2 linked regions of the Danio rerio genome follow. The protein of the gene in region 1 interacts with the protein of each later gene in a pairwise test. Links are inferred from orthologs where the notes say so. Each region holds a gene or a part of one and is shown on either strand. Other genes may lie near its edges.

Region 1 (6,332 bases):
AACTAAATAAATTAATACATTTTTATTACCAAAAAATAAATCTACAGAAATATGTGAATAAATGAATGGATGAATTAATTAAGAAAAAAATACTTATTAAATGGATTAATAAATTAACTGAAACTATAAGTAACTGCAATGACATGCCTTGATATATATATATATAATATATTATAATTTTAACAATAATATGTGTACAGTGCTGACCAAATAAACTCACCTCTATATTATTTAAACTGCTGAAATGGTAAAGTAATAACAGAGGAGCGTGCAGCAGACGTCTCAGCAGTGTTAATCTGCTTTAAGCCACTCTGGTCAGACTGGATTACTAATTGGGTGGATTTATGGCTGATTTGGAGACGAGGACACCAATCAAGAGCCTGAAGCGTCTCAGACAAACATTTAAGACCTTTTTTCTGGGTTCAGGTCCTGGTCAGAGGCAGCAAGACCTGAAGGAAACACTTTAAAAGGTAAGAAGTGCTTTAGTATGAAATGTAAAATCTGCAGTTAATATTGTGTATGGTTAATGGAATAAGATCCTGAATGTGTTTTCGTGCTTAGTTATTACTTTATTTGTTTTTAAATGTGTTATATAAAGCCATTGTATGAAGACCGAATCAAAATGTTGCTATAATGCACAGTTGAAGTCTAATTTGTTAGCCTACCTTTAATTTTTTTTTTCTTTTTTAAATATTTCCCAAATGATGTTTTACAGATTCAGGAAATTTTCACAGTATGTCTGATAATATTTTTTGTTCTAGAGAAAGTCTTATTTGTTTTATTTCGGTTAGAATAAAAGCAGTTTTTAATTTTTGAAAAGCGATTTTAAGGTCAAAATTATTAACCCCTTTTAAGCTATATTTTTTATCTATAATCTACAGAACAAACCATCGTTATACAATAACTTGCCTAATTACCCTAACCTGCCTAGTTAACCTAATTAACCTAGTTAAGCCTTTAAATGTCACTTTAAGCTGTATTGAAGTGTCTTGAAAAATATCTAGTCAAATATTATTTACTGTCATCATGACAATGATCAAATAAATCAGTTATTAGAAATGAGCTATTAAAAATATTATGTTTAGAAATGTGTTAAAAATAGCTATATATATATATATATATATATATATATATATATATATATATATATATATATATATATATATATATATATATATATATATATATATATATATACATACATACAGTTAAAGTCAGAATAATTAGCCCTCCTGAATTATTCAATCCCCTGTTTATTTTTTTTTTCCCGTTTTTTGTTTAATGGACAGATTTTTTAACACATTTCCAAACATAACAGTTTTAATAACTCATCTCTAATAACTGATTTATTTTATCTTTGTCATGATGACAGTAAATAATATTAGACTAGATATTTTTCAAGACACTTCTATACAGCTTAAAGTAACATTTAAAGGCTTAACTAGGGTAACTAGGCAGGTTAGGGTAATTAGGCAAGTTATAGTATAATGATGGTTTGTTCTGTAGATTATCGAGAGAAATAATTTGCTTAAAGAGGTTAATAATTATGACATTAAAATGGTGTTTAAAAATTTAAAAACTGCTTTTATTCAAGTCGAAATCAAACAAATCAGACTTTCTCCAGAAGACAAAATATTATTAGACATGCTGTGAAAGTGTCCTGGATGATAAACATTATTCGGGAAATATTTAAAAAAAGAGAAAAAATTCAAAGGGGGGCAAATAATTCTGACTTCAACTGTATGTATATGTATGCATGTATATATCAGTAGACCCCTCACAAATCTCTTTTTTAAATTTATATTTTAAATAGGAAGCTCTACAATATTATATTTGTGCATATACATTAGGTTAGTCAGCACTGAAGCCAAATCTAGAGCTTATCTAACAAAATTACTTACGATAACCCTCCAAAAACCAGTAGAGCCAAATTTAAATGTTATAGAAAACATTAAATACAAATTTTAAAAAGAGAAATTTAGTTACATGCAATATTATACAATGCAATTTTATGCAAATGTAACAATACAATGCAATATTTTGCTTGAACTTAATTGTATTATCTTTCAATTTCTAAATATGTTTGGTGACTTAAAATATTATTTTAATAAATATGTGTGTAATAAATCTGTTTTGTTTAAATGCACCAAAATACATTGTCTGTATTCACTGAGAAATGGAGAAAAACATTTATTTACAAAACAAAGCAAGCATGTTTTTTTAGTTTATTTTTAGTACTGTGACATATGTACAAACTTAGCGCAAACAAGTCCACACATCTCATAACTATTTAGAACAAAATAAAAAAGAGAGCAACAGTATGCAATCAACGTATAAACAAATAAGCACGCGTGTCTGATGTATCGACAGCACAACTTCAATAACAAACATGCTAAAGTAAGCGTGTCGTTTGAATACGAATAAGCGAATCACGTCAGCGCGTGTCATTGGTCCGCCTGCGCCCTGGACACCGTTGCTAAGGAATCCCGTGTACGCGCGTGTGGGTCGGCGGCGCGCAGCTCTCAGTGCTCAGACATGGCGGCGGACCTGAACCCGGACTGGCTGTCTTGCCTGCCTTCCTCTTGGAGTTACGGCGTGACCCGGGACGGACGAGTGTTCTTTATCAAGTAAATATCTGCAGGAACTAAGACTCGGGGATCGGTTTGACTCGAAACCCTCTCATCGGTTGTTTTTTCCCCTCCACCTTCTCTCACCCCCTTTTTTCTCTCACCCAACAGTGAAGAAGCGAAGAGCACAACCTGGCTGCATCCAGTCACAGGAGAAGCCGTCATTACAGGACACAGAAAAACTCCAGGTGAGGCTTTATTTTGATTTATTTTACGAGCGGAGAAATGCAATCAATGCAGTTGCAGAAACCGCAGCTGTGGCTGAACGCGATGCGCGCAGTGTCAATGCGTTCGCGTTGCGTTTCGTGCGTTGCGTTGCATGCAGCACGATTTCTGACAACTTGCGTTCGGTTGCTTTGCGCGCCCACGATCGGTTTGATTGACAGCTGTCACTTGGTTGATCATCTGACCCCATGCACTGAATCATAAATCGTAAACTCCCTTATTAAAACGAGTCTCACATGCGTTATTATCAGCAGTGAATGATCCTCATTGACATGTTGATCTTGCAGATGCATCGCCAGCAATGCTCATATTTTGGGCACTGCAGATCAGAGATGTGCTGCCCAGTCACTCTAGAAAGATGCTGTTTGCATGCAAAAACTCATTGTCCTCGCCTCCTCTCAGCTTTTTAATTAATTAATTTATTTTTTCTTCAGATTTACCCACCGGATGGGAAGAAGGATACACGTTTGAAGGAGCCCGTTGCTTTATCAAGTGAGTTGGAGGTTCAGCTTATTGGCAGAAGGAGGATATTTCACTCTCGCCTGCTTGTTTGACAGCAGCAGTGATTTCAGATCGCCGCCCCCTCACACACACACACACACACACACACACACACATATATATATTCACTCATACACTCATGCCACAGCGTCTCCAGAAATGCTTCGGCTAGCACACTGAAGGTAGGGCTGGGCGATATGACAAAAATCATGATATAAATCACGATAATCGTCTCATATTCTGATAACGATATATATCATGATATAGTACAATTCAATCAATCAATCAATTAATTATTATATGGACCACATGTAAAGCACTATTTATTTATTACATTTTAAAGTATGCATTAATATACTCATTAAAATATGGTCATATTTCTCATGTTATTAATATTAGAACTTCAGGGCAAAGGTTTGATTAAGAATGCAGAAATATGAAAGAAATATTAATACTATTAGTGCTGGGTACAAATTAATCGCATCAGGAATGAAAGTTTGTTTTGGCATAGTTTAATTGCGTTTACTGTGTACATTTACTATTTATATGTAAATACACACATGCATGCATATATTTCAGATGTAAAATATATATGTATATGATACAAATTAGATATATAATTGAATATCTATGTAACAAAATAGTTTTGTATAGCGTTTCTATCACATATAAATAAAAATCATATATAATACACACACATATTATGTCAAAAACTTTTTTTGCACTAAATTAAATATTAACACTGTTCAGGGATGCGTTTCCCAAACAAAGACGTAACTTTCGGCTAACTATTATAGTATGATGCATCGTTTGGGAAGTGAACAATGTAGTGACGAATGTTTCCCAAAACCTGTAGTTTCTCTGTCGCAGATCCATCGTTTAAACAATGTTAGTTTAATGTAAAACACCCATAATGGTGCTCTAAACAGGGTGGTAACAACTTCTTTAGAGAAGAACCCCGTCAGTTCTTTGTGCAAATTATATTGTTTTACATGCACACGCATTTAATAAAAAATCCAATGTTAGTTTTGGTAAAAACATGCACTCATTTTCTATATTACCTGAAATATATGTAAACAGCACATATAGGTCCTGTGTTTCCTTTACAAATATTATTGAGAACATAATATAATAAAATATTGTTAAAAAAATACAAATGTTGTTAAATAAAATGCAAATGTGAACATTGTATTATCAAGTATTGCAACTTTCTCATGATCCTGTTATTTATGTTTATGTCGGCATCTCTGTAATCGCATATAATATAGATCATTAAAGAGATTTACAGTAAACAGTGTATTTAATGATTAGGCATGGGCCGGCATAAGTTTCTGACGGTATAACCTTCAATAAAAACATCACGTTTTCACGGTATTGTGATTACTGCTCTGAAATATATTCTTTTAAAATGTTTGGCTAAAAAGCAGCTACGTTTTCCGCTTTGAACACAATATATTTTAATTTGGGAAACATTTAAGATATTTTGTTACAGTAAATAATTCAAATGAATCATTGACTTCTGCTGTCTTCATTAGTTTCAAAAACACTGATTTCATTACAATTTAAACAGCATCTTTGAGGTAATGTTGTCCAATCAATCAATCAATCAATCAATCAATAAATAAATAAAAAATATTCTTGCCTATACCATGGGAGCGATATAACAGAAAATGTTGGTGCTTTTAAAACCTTGACATTTCCAAACCGCTTTAGACCTTGAAAACGGTTATCGTCCCATTTGTTGCGCCTATTTGTGATACTATGAGCATAATATGAATTAATAGACGTTTTATTTTGTCTATATGAGATATATATTGTCATATTGCACAGCCCTAACTGAAGCTATACACTAGTCTTTAGAGCATTTTCACTCCCCTGTTAAAAAAGAAAAAAGTAATTACCGTGAGGGTGACGGAGGGCTTGACAGGCTCGTGTGATTCAAACCTCTGTTGGCTGAAAACAGGCTCAACTTGTTGGTTTCCACTGAGTGAATCATATTAACCCTATTTTTCTCCACATTGCAGTCCTTTTTCGTGTTAAACTACCTGTTTCAGATGAATCTGTGTGGTTTTTTGTGTGCTAGCAGGTCTTGGTTTGTTTGATAAGCTTGTATTGAGGAGAGCTGATCAAAGTTTTTAGGCTCTGGTGTGCTTTTTTGAATTAGTGAATGAGGCTGATGATTTTTAGGAGTGTTTTCATCTGTGATTGGGTTGAGAATGAGCCAGTTTGCTTTTTGGGATGATGTTTTTGCGTTTTTGGGATGATTATTTGCGTAGATTGTCTGATTGTTTTTATCAGATTTTTTCTTGAGTGGCATAACAGATGCTGGGGTGCATGTTTTATGCTATTTTACTTTGGTCGATTTCCATTTTTGTGGTTTTGAAAGTGGTTGATGTATTAATTAACAGTCCTCTCCCTCTTGTGGCCTTTTTGGCAATATTGGTTGTGGTTGAGGAGTAAATGTTGTGTCTGTATTTTGTGTACATCTCATTGATGCTCATGACAATTCCATATGTACTGTAAGTGTGCTTTGTTGCATTGGCCTAATTCATTGACAGTCTATATTAAGGGTAAGTTTGACATTGTAAATGTTGCTTTATTTATTTATTTTAATCGCTGATGCATTGAAATGACCTTATATTATAAACGCAGTATTACCAACAAAATGTTTTTTTTGCACAAAAAGTTTGATTTATTGAGAAAATTCTGACTCTGAATGTGCATTTTTGCTTTAAAGAGCTTGCTTTATTTTCTTGATCATTGTTGGGTTTCAATGACATATCAATATTATTAGAGAAGAATCGTCCTGCAGATAATTTGCACATTTTCTTAGATTTATTGCATGGGTATTTCAATGGGCTGTTCTGTTTTCCTCATCATTCCTGGCTTCAAATGACATATCAGTATTAATAGAAGTACCATCCTGCAGATAATTTGCACAACACTTTTGATTTATTGTAAAAAACACACAAGAAAACA
Region 2 (6,382 bases), on another chromosome or scaffold:
CATAAACTACACAGTGTATGTGCACAATTGAATGACATTTAACTAGTCAGTAGCAATGTGTTTTTCAGCAGGACATCAAAATGCTTATGCACGACTGAAATGTACTTAAAAAAGAAAAAGGTTTTAAAGAATACAAGATATATTAGTCATTATAACATCAGTCATTTTATAAACTAAATTACTCAGGAATTTCCCTTAGCCCTACACTTCTATATAGTTCTTTTAATAAATAAGACTTCTAGCATGTGTTTCTCTTCATGTCCCAAAGAATATGCTTGTTTTCCCAGATGAAAGCACACATAAACAGGAGACGCATCTGGAAAAGCCAGCGCTAGATGTGAATCATCAAGGCATGTGCTGGAGTGTTTGAAGATGATTTCTTTGAGCAGTCTTTTAGGCAGAGAAAAGAGTTTGTGGGAGGAAGATGATGCAGAGGAGACGAGCCTTTCTCACTGACACACCAACGCCTCATCGCTGCGTCACGGCACTGCTGCGCTCCTGAAGGTCTACTCTGACACCTAGTGGACAGTCCTCTCCTTCTGCCGCTGGTAATCTGGAAACACATTCATGATGTCAAGCACAGCCAGAAACAGTCACTTGAAGGGAAAGTTCACCCAAAACTGAGGATTCGGTCATCGTTTACTCACGCCTCACTCGTTCAGACCTGTTTGAGTTTCTTTTTTCTGTTGAACACAAAAAAGTTACTCTGAAAAAATGTTGGAAACCTGTAACCACTGAATTCCTTAGTATTTCCTATTATGAAAGTCAATGGTTACAGGTTTATGACATTCTTCCAATTATCTTATTTTGTGTTCAACAGAAAAAAGAAACTTATAAAGGTATGGAACCACTTGAGGGTCAGTAAGTTAAAACTTTTGACTGAGCCATCCTTTTAAGCCAGGGGTGTCTAAACTCGGGCCTCAAGGGCCAGTGTCCATGCAGATTTTAACTTGTCTCAACACACCAGCAAGAATGTTTCTAGAAAGCCTAGTAAGAGCTCAATTAGCAAGCCCAGCTTTGTCTGATTAGAGTTGGAACTAAACTTTGCAGAACACCAGCCCTCCAGGACTGAGTGTGGACACCCCTGTTTTAATTATTTTAACTAGACTAATGCAGTGGTTCTTGATATGATATAGCCCCCCATTCTCGCAGACATCTCCCAAAATATTTATTCGTTCATTAATTCAATTTCTTTTCAGCTTAGTCTCTTTATTTTAATTAGGGGTCACCACAGCGTAATGAATCGCCAACTTATCCAGCATATGTTTTACGCAGCAGATACCCTTTCAGCTGCAACCCAACACTAGGAAACACCCATACACTCTTGCATTTATACACATACACTATGGCCAATTTAGCTTATTCGATTCACCTATAGCGCATGTGTTTGGACTGTGTGGGAAACCAGAGCACCCGGAGGAAACCTGACCTAACACGGGGAAAACATGCAAACTTACACAGAAATCCCAACTGACCCAGCTGGGGCTCAAACCCTTGCTGTGGGGGGATCATGCTACCCACTGCGCCACCATGACGCCAACATATTTTTTTTTTTAAATATATTATCATACAGTTTCAGTATTTAAAAATTTGAATGTCAAATCATTATAGTTATTAAGTCATTTCATAACTACAGAGCGTCTAATAACTAACTGTAATTCTCTACTTCCATACTGAAGAATGAGTCCAGTTTCTTTTTTTTCTTTCCTCAGAGCAAAAACACAAACTTTCACACATTTTTGCTATGATTTACAGAAGACATCTGCTAAAATGACACTTAGTGAACCTAAAAATCTTTCATGAAGTTTTGTATACTTTGGCAGCACATATTTTATGTTTGAATAAGATGTGATTTTTGTATTATTCTTAGACATTTCTTCTATAATTAAAATAAAAATGTTAAAGAAATAGCTTTGTTTGCATGAAATAAGATCAAAATTATGTTATAAAAACTGCTGTGTTTTAGACATGTTTATATTAGTTTTTAAACAGTAAAAATCAATATTTGCTGGAATAACCCTGATTTTAATAAGAAACAAAAATCTGATTTTAACCCTTACATACAGTGGCCGAGAGAGCTTAACATGCTGCCATTTAAGAAAACTCATGCAATTACAAAAAAACAACAGCAAATTGAGAACGATCTTCATCTGTTTCACTGCACACATGCTGCAAATCCTCACAATGCAAACACATTTTTAAAAAAACGTGCTACACTCTCACACCTCAAACAATTTGGGAAACGCACTGCATTTTCTCACAACACAACAGAAATGTTTCAAGTGGACCCAAAAATGTGACAGACGCCGCTGTGCCGTGAGTATTGTCCGCGATAATGCTCAGTGAAGTTTTAGGTAATCTTTGAAAGATTTTTTTTTCATATCCCGATTCCCGTGTCTTTAGTATTTATTAGCCTAAATAACCATAACCTAAATAGCTTGGTCCGTCATGTTTTAGGGTCCCCTTGAAACATTTTCAAATATTTGCGTTGTGAGAAAATGCAGCTTGCTTGCATCTTTTACTATATGGCGTGTATTTGAATAGAGGTAAAGTTGGTTTTATATTCGGATATTCAGACTTTCTCCTTAGTAATATAATTTCAGAAAAATATTCTTTGCAAATTGTAAATAGGGAAATCATATTAGCAGCAAATGACTATCAAAGTACAACATTGTTCACAGTGAATTAGATTGTGTTACTGTTGTTTAGAAGTCATACTCGCATGCTAATTCAGATCGAATATTCAAAGTAACATGGTAAACAATATAGAGACTGCTAAATGAACGAATGTGCGAATATAAAACCAACTTTACCTCTATTGCATTTGAAATTTGTTATTCAAAACTGTAAAGGAAATGTTTGATTTGTCATGTCATATTAATTATTGTAATACTCACTGTAAGGGAAATATCGAACCTTCATCAAAATCTCTCTTGCTGTCTTTAAAATCTCCACTGCCTAGAAAACAAATCAAAGATTAGACCAATTGAGCTTAGAGGCACATCCATCCAGAGGCATATCCAGTCAGTGTTCTTCTGTCCGTAGACTGACAGGTCAGATCTTACCCTTGAATGCTCAATGTCTTGAAAGTCCACTTCATTGACAGAAAGCACCTGATCACCCTCCTGAAGTCCTGCCCTGTGGGCGTCTGAATCTGGCACCACCTGTCACAAACAACATACGATTAAGTCAATTGTTTAAATAGACGAACAAGTTTTTAACTAGCACAGCTGAACTCACCTTTGAAATGAATATGCCAAGCTGCGAGGCTTTTCCTCCACGGATATTGAAGCCCAGCTGTGCACCAGGGGGCTTTTTTAACACTATAGTGCGAGGTAGGAACTGGGCGAGCTCATTGTTATAGTCAGGGTGATGAATCCTCTGATTACAAAGAAGAAAGATGATAATTAGGATTTATGTTTGATTACAAATGATAAGATTAAATGAAGTGCAATAGTAGTGTTCAGTACTTCTTGTGGAGGGATCCATGCAGGAGGGTTTTCATAGGAGGGAAGAAACACTACCGGCAGCTGATAATCATCATACGGAATCTTCTGGTCCATGTTTGTCGAGCTGGACGTGAGAAAAAAATCAATAGCGTCATGATGTCATTAATCATCTTTACAATAAAACAATACAGGCTTGGTTATAGCTATAAAGAGTTATGAAAGATGTATTTTAAAAATTATTGTAGTGATTTTAGTATAGAATTATTCAAATGGATGTAAATTCACTCTCTGCGGTTCTCATTGTACAATGAGCTACAGTAGGCTAGCTTGCTAACACACATCAATAAACACAAGATGCGATGAGCAACAGCGTAATAAATTCTCAAATGTTGCGCGAATAAACTAAGGTTATAAACACGCTTAAACTAAAATCTAAAACAACGAGTATATGCCGCTTCTTTTGCTCTGCAGTTTTGTTTTTGTCTGTCAACTCACCAGAACACATTGAGTCGAGTGAACCTTTAGCCCCGCCCTTTCGCTGATGACGTCAGCACGTTTTTCTTTTCATAGGAAAGCAACAAAATATAAACTTATGGTTAATGAGAGATTTGTAAGTCAAGGGGGGGATATTAAAGCCAAAACTGAAGGATTGTCACGTTTAGTATACACGGCTCTTGCATTCGATGCTCCACATTTAGTCATAAAAGAGGTGGATAAATTTTTGTTCAATTTGATATGAAGGAGCACACCACATTATTTAAAGAAGACAATTTTGTGCATGCCACTTAAAGATAGTGGTCACCATGTTGTTAACTTCAACACCGTGTAGGCTATTTAAAAACAAATAGATTAAGAATTGCCTGAATAAAGGCAAAATTTGGAGCATCATCCCTGAATTAGTTTTTGACCAGGTGGAGGGTTTAGAATTATTTTAAGGTGTGATTTTGATATTAACAAGGTGCCAATAAAACGTTCCTCTTTTCATTAACGAGTATGTTTACTATGGATGCTTATTTACAAGCATATTTTTTCTCCACATAAATCAGTGCTCTATAACCTTTGTTATACAGTGATGTATAACAAATGGATAACCTTTAAAAATAAATATTTATTTTATAGAAATTGGTACAGTAATGATATATTGGTGCGACAGTTATTCAAAAGTAATGGTCAATTTCTTTATTATTGTGATTACTGCCAAAGAATTTGCAATAGCATTTGATGCAGTTCCTGGTTGTCTTGTTCAGCTCTTATCTGGTAATATGTCCTCTAAATCCAACCTGTTACATACTAATTAGTTAAGTTATAATGGTGTGAAAATTATAGGCAATAAATTGAATAAGTTCTACATTTTAAAAGTTTTGCAGAACCACATTGTTGCCTAAATGCAAACCTTTTTGGAATTGCTTATTTGAGCAGATTGAGTGGTAAAAAGTTTGGAACTTGTCAAGTAAATACTGTCTCACCAATAAAGTTAAAGAAGTGACAAACTAATCAATTAAATTTATACAGTGAAACAGGTTGTTAATTTTTTTTAGAAACATTGAATCTGCGTGCACTTTTTGTGAATTAGAAGAGGAATCCAGAATATGTCTGTTTTTTGAATGCACATATACACAAATGTTTTGGTTTGATGTTCAATATCTTTTATAGTTAAATCTAAAAAAAATTAGAAATTAAGCTTTCTTGTAAAGGTAATTTTTTGACATAATAATAATAATAACAATAATAATAAAAAACTTTTGAGCAAAATTTGATTATTCATTTAATGATAATATGGGAAGTCCCATTTACACACACACAAAAAAAAAATGGCCAAGGATAAACCTAACGTTTATTTGTTTAAAATTTATCTTAAAATTGAAACCATAAAATACATTTAAAATATTTTTAAGAAGCGATAAGCATGTATGCAAAAAGGATTTTTTTGAATAATTTTTCGTATGCGTATTTCTTGTAATTTATATATCCCCTGTAATTTTATTCATTTATTTATTTTTTTTTCTCTATTGATTTGTTCCTTTGATGTTTGAGATAATGTAAAAACTGTATTCCTCAGTTTGTTTGTATGCTATTGTTCTTGTTATTCAATAAATAAAATCAAATATGTAAAGCTAAACAAAATATTTGTTTTTCGGCCAGTTTCTTGTTGCAGTTCACCCCAGAGTGAGCGTGGACTCTGGGTCATTTCTCTGACAGAAGGCTCTTTATGCTCTCTTGCTCAAGATCATCTTAAATCACAAATGCCTTGTTTGTAGTGTCAGGGTTAACTTTTTTTTCATATTTTAGTTTGAAGGATATTCTGTTACACTGTAGACTTTTTGTTATGTGCCTGCTAAATAAGAAATCCACTGTAAAATATTAACCTTCCCTGAAAAAAAAAAAACATCACTGAAATGTGCCAAAAACAGCCTCACTCATTGTTCACAAGTCTGGGCATTTTAGCATTAACAGAGTCAGAGGCAGTGTCACACTGTAGATATAATGTAATAATTAACATAGTACAGCAGTTGCCCACTGTGCTTCTGAAGCAAGCAGGTGGCATATTTGCAAAAATTGGAGTGATTAAACTGAAAACGTAATGCACCAGTTTGTTTAATGTCTCCAATCCTCCTCCTTTTGTAAAAACTTGAAGTTGTATGTCACATTTTTTTAAAACAATATATTTAGAAATGTACAATGTTTTGCTTGTCATAGAATGTCTTGTCATTATTATTTAGGCCCAGTATTAATTTATTATTATTATTATTATTATTATTATTATTATTATTATTATTATTAATGTGGTTAAAAATAAATCTATAATTTGCTTCTTTTTATTTTATGTATTTTCTTTTATTTTAATCCACTGATTTTAGTAATAAAACAGATGTTTAATTTCAGTTTATAAAATTCCTCTTTTTTTTAATTTTTTTATCTTATTTTCAAAATGA

Evidence for each region.
Region 2: the proteins of plekha5 (region 1) and pdzd11 interact in binary tests that used the Homo sapiens proteins (3 or more experiments, as listed by UniProt). The two-hybrid records come from large-scale screens. The link is inferred for Danio rerio from reciprocal best matches to the Homo sapiens genes PLEKHA5 and PDZD11.

Annotation. Positions count from the first base shown.
Region 1 is NC_133179.1:3,484,514-3,490,845, reverse strand, and holds the start of plekha5 (pleckstrin homology domain-containing family A member 5), read left to right. Parts: upstream 1-2,515; 5' UTR 2,516-2,535; coding exon 2,536-2,627; intron 2,628-2,738; coding exon 2,739-2,815; intron 2,816-3,286; coding exon 3,287-3,344; intron 3,345-6,332.
Region 2 is NC_133189.1:37,800,583-37,806,964, reverse strand, and holds the start of pdzd11 (PDZ domain-containing protein 11), read right to left. Parts: upstream 3,976-6,382; 5' UTR 3,945-3,975; intron 3,574-3,944; 5' UTR 3,564-3,573; coding exon 3,471-3,563; intron 3,382-3,470; coding exon 3,241-3,381; intron 3,165-3,240; coding exon 3,066-3,164; intron 2,959-3,065; coding exon 2,898-2,958; intron 554-2,897; coding exon 519-553; 3' UTR 1-518. UniProt on the Homo sapiens protein: Mediates docking of ADAM10 to zonula adherens by interacting with PLEKHA7 which is required for PLEKHA7 to interact with the ADAM10-binding protein TSPAN33.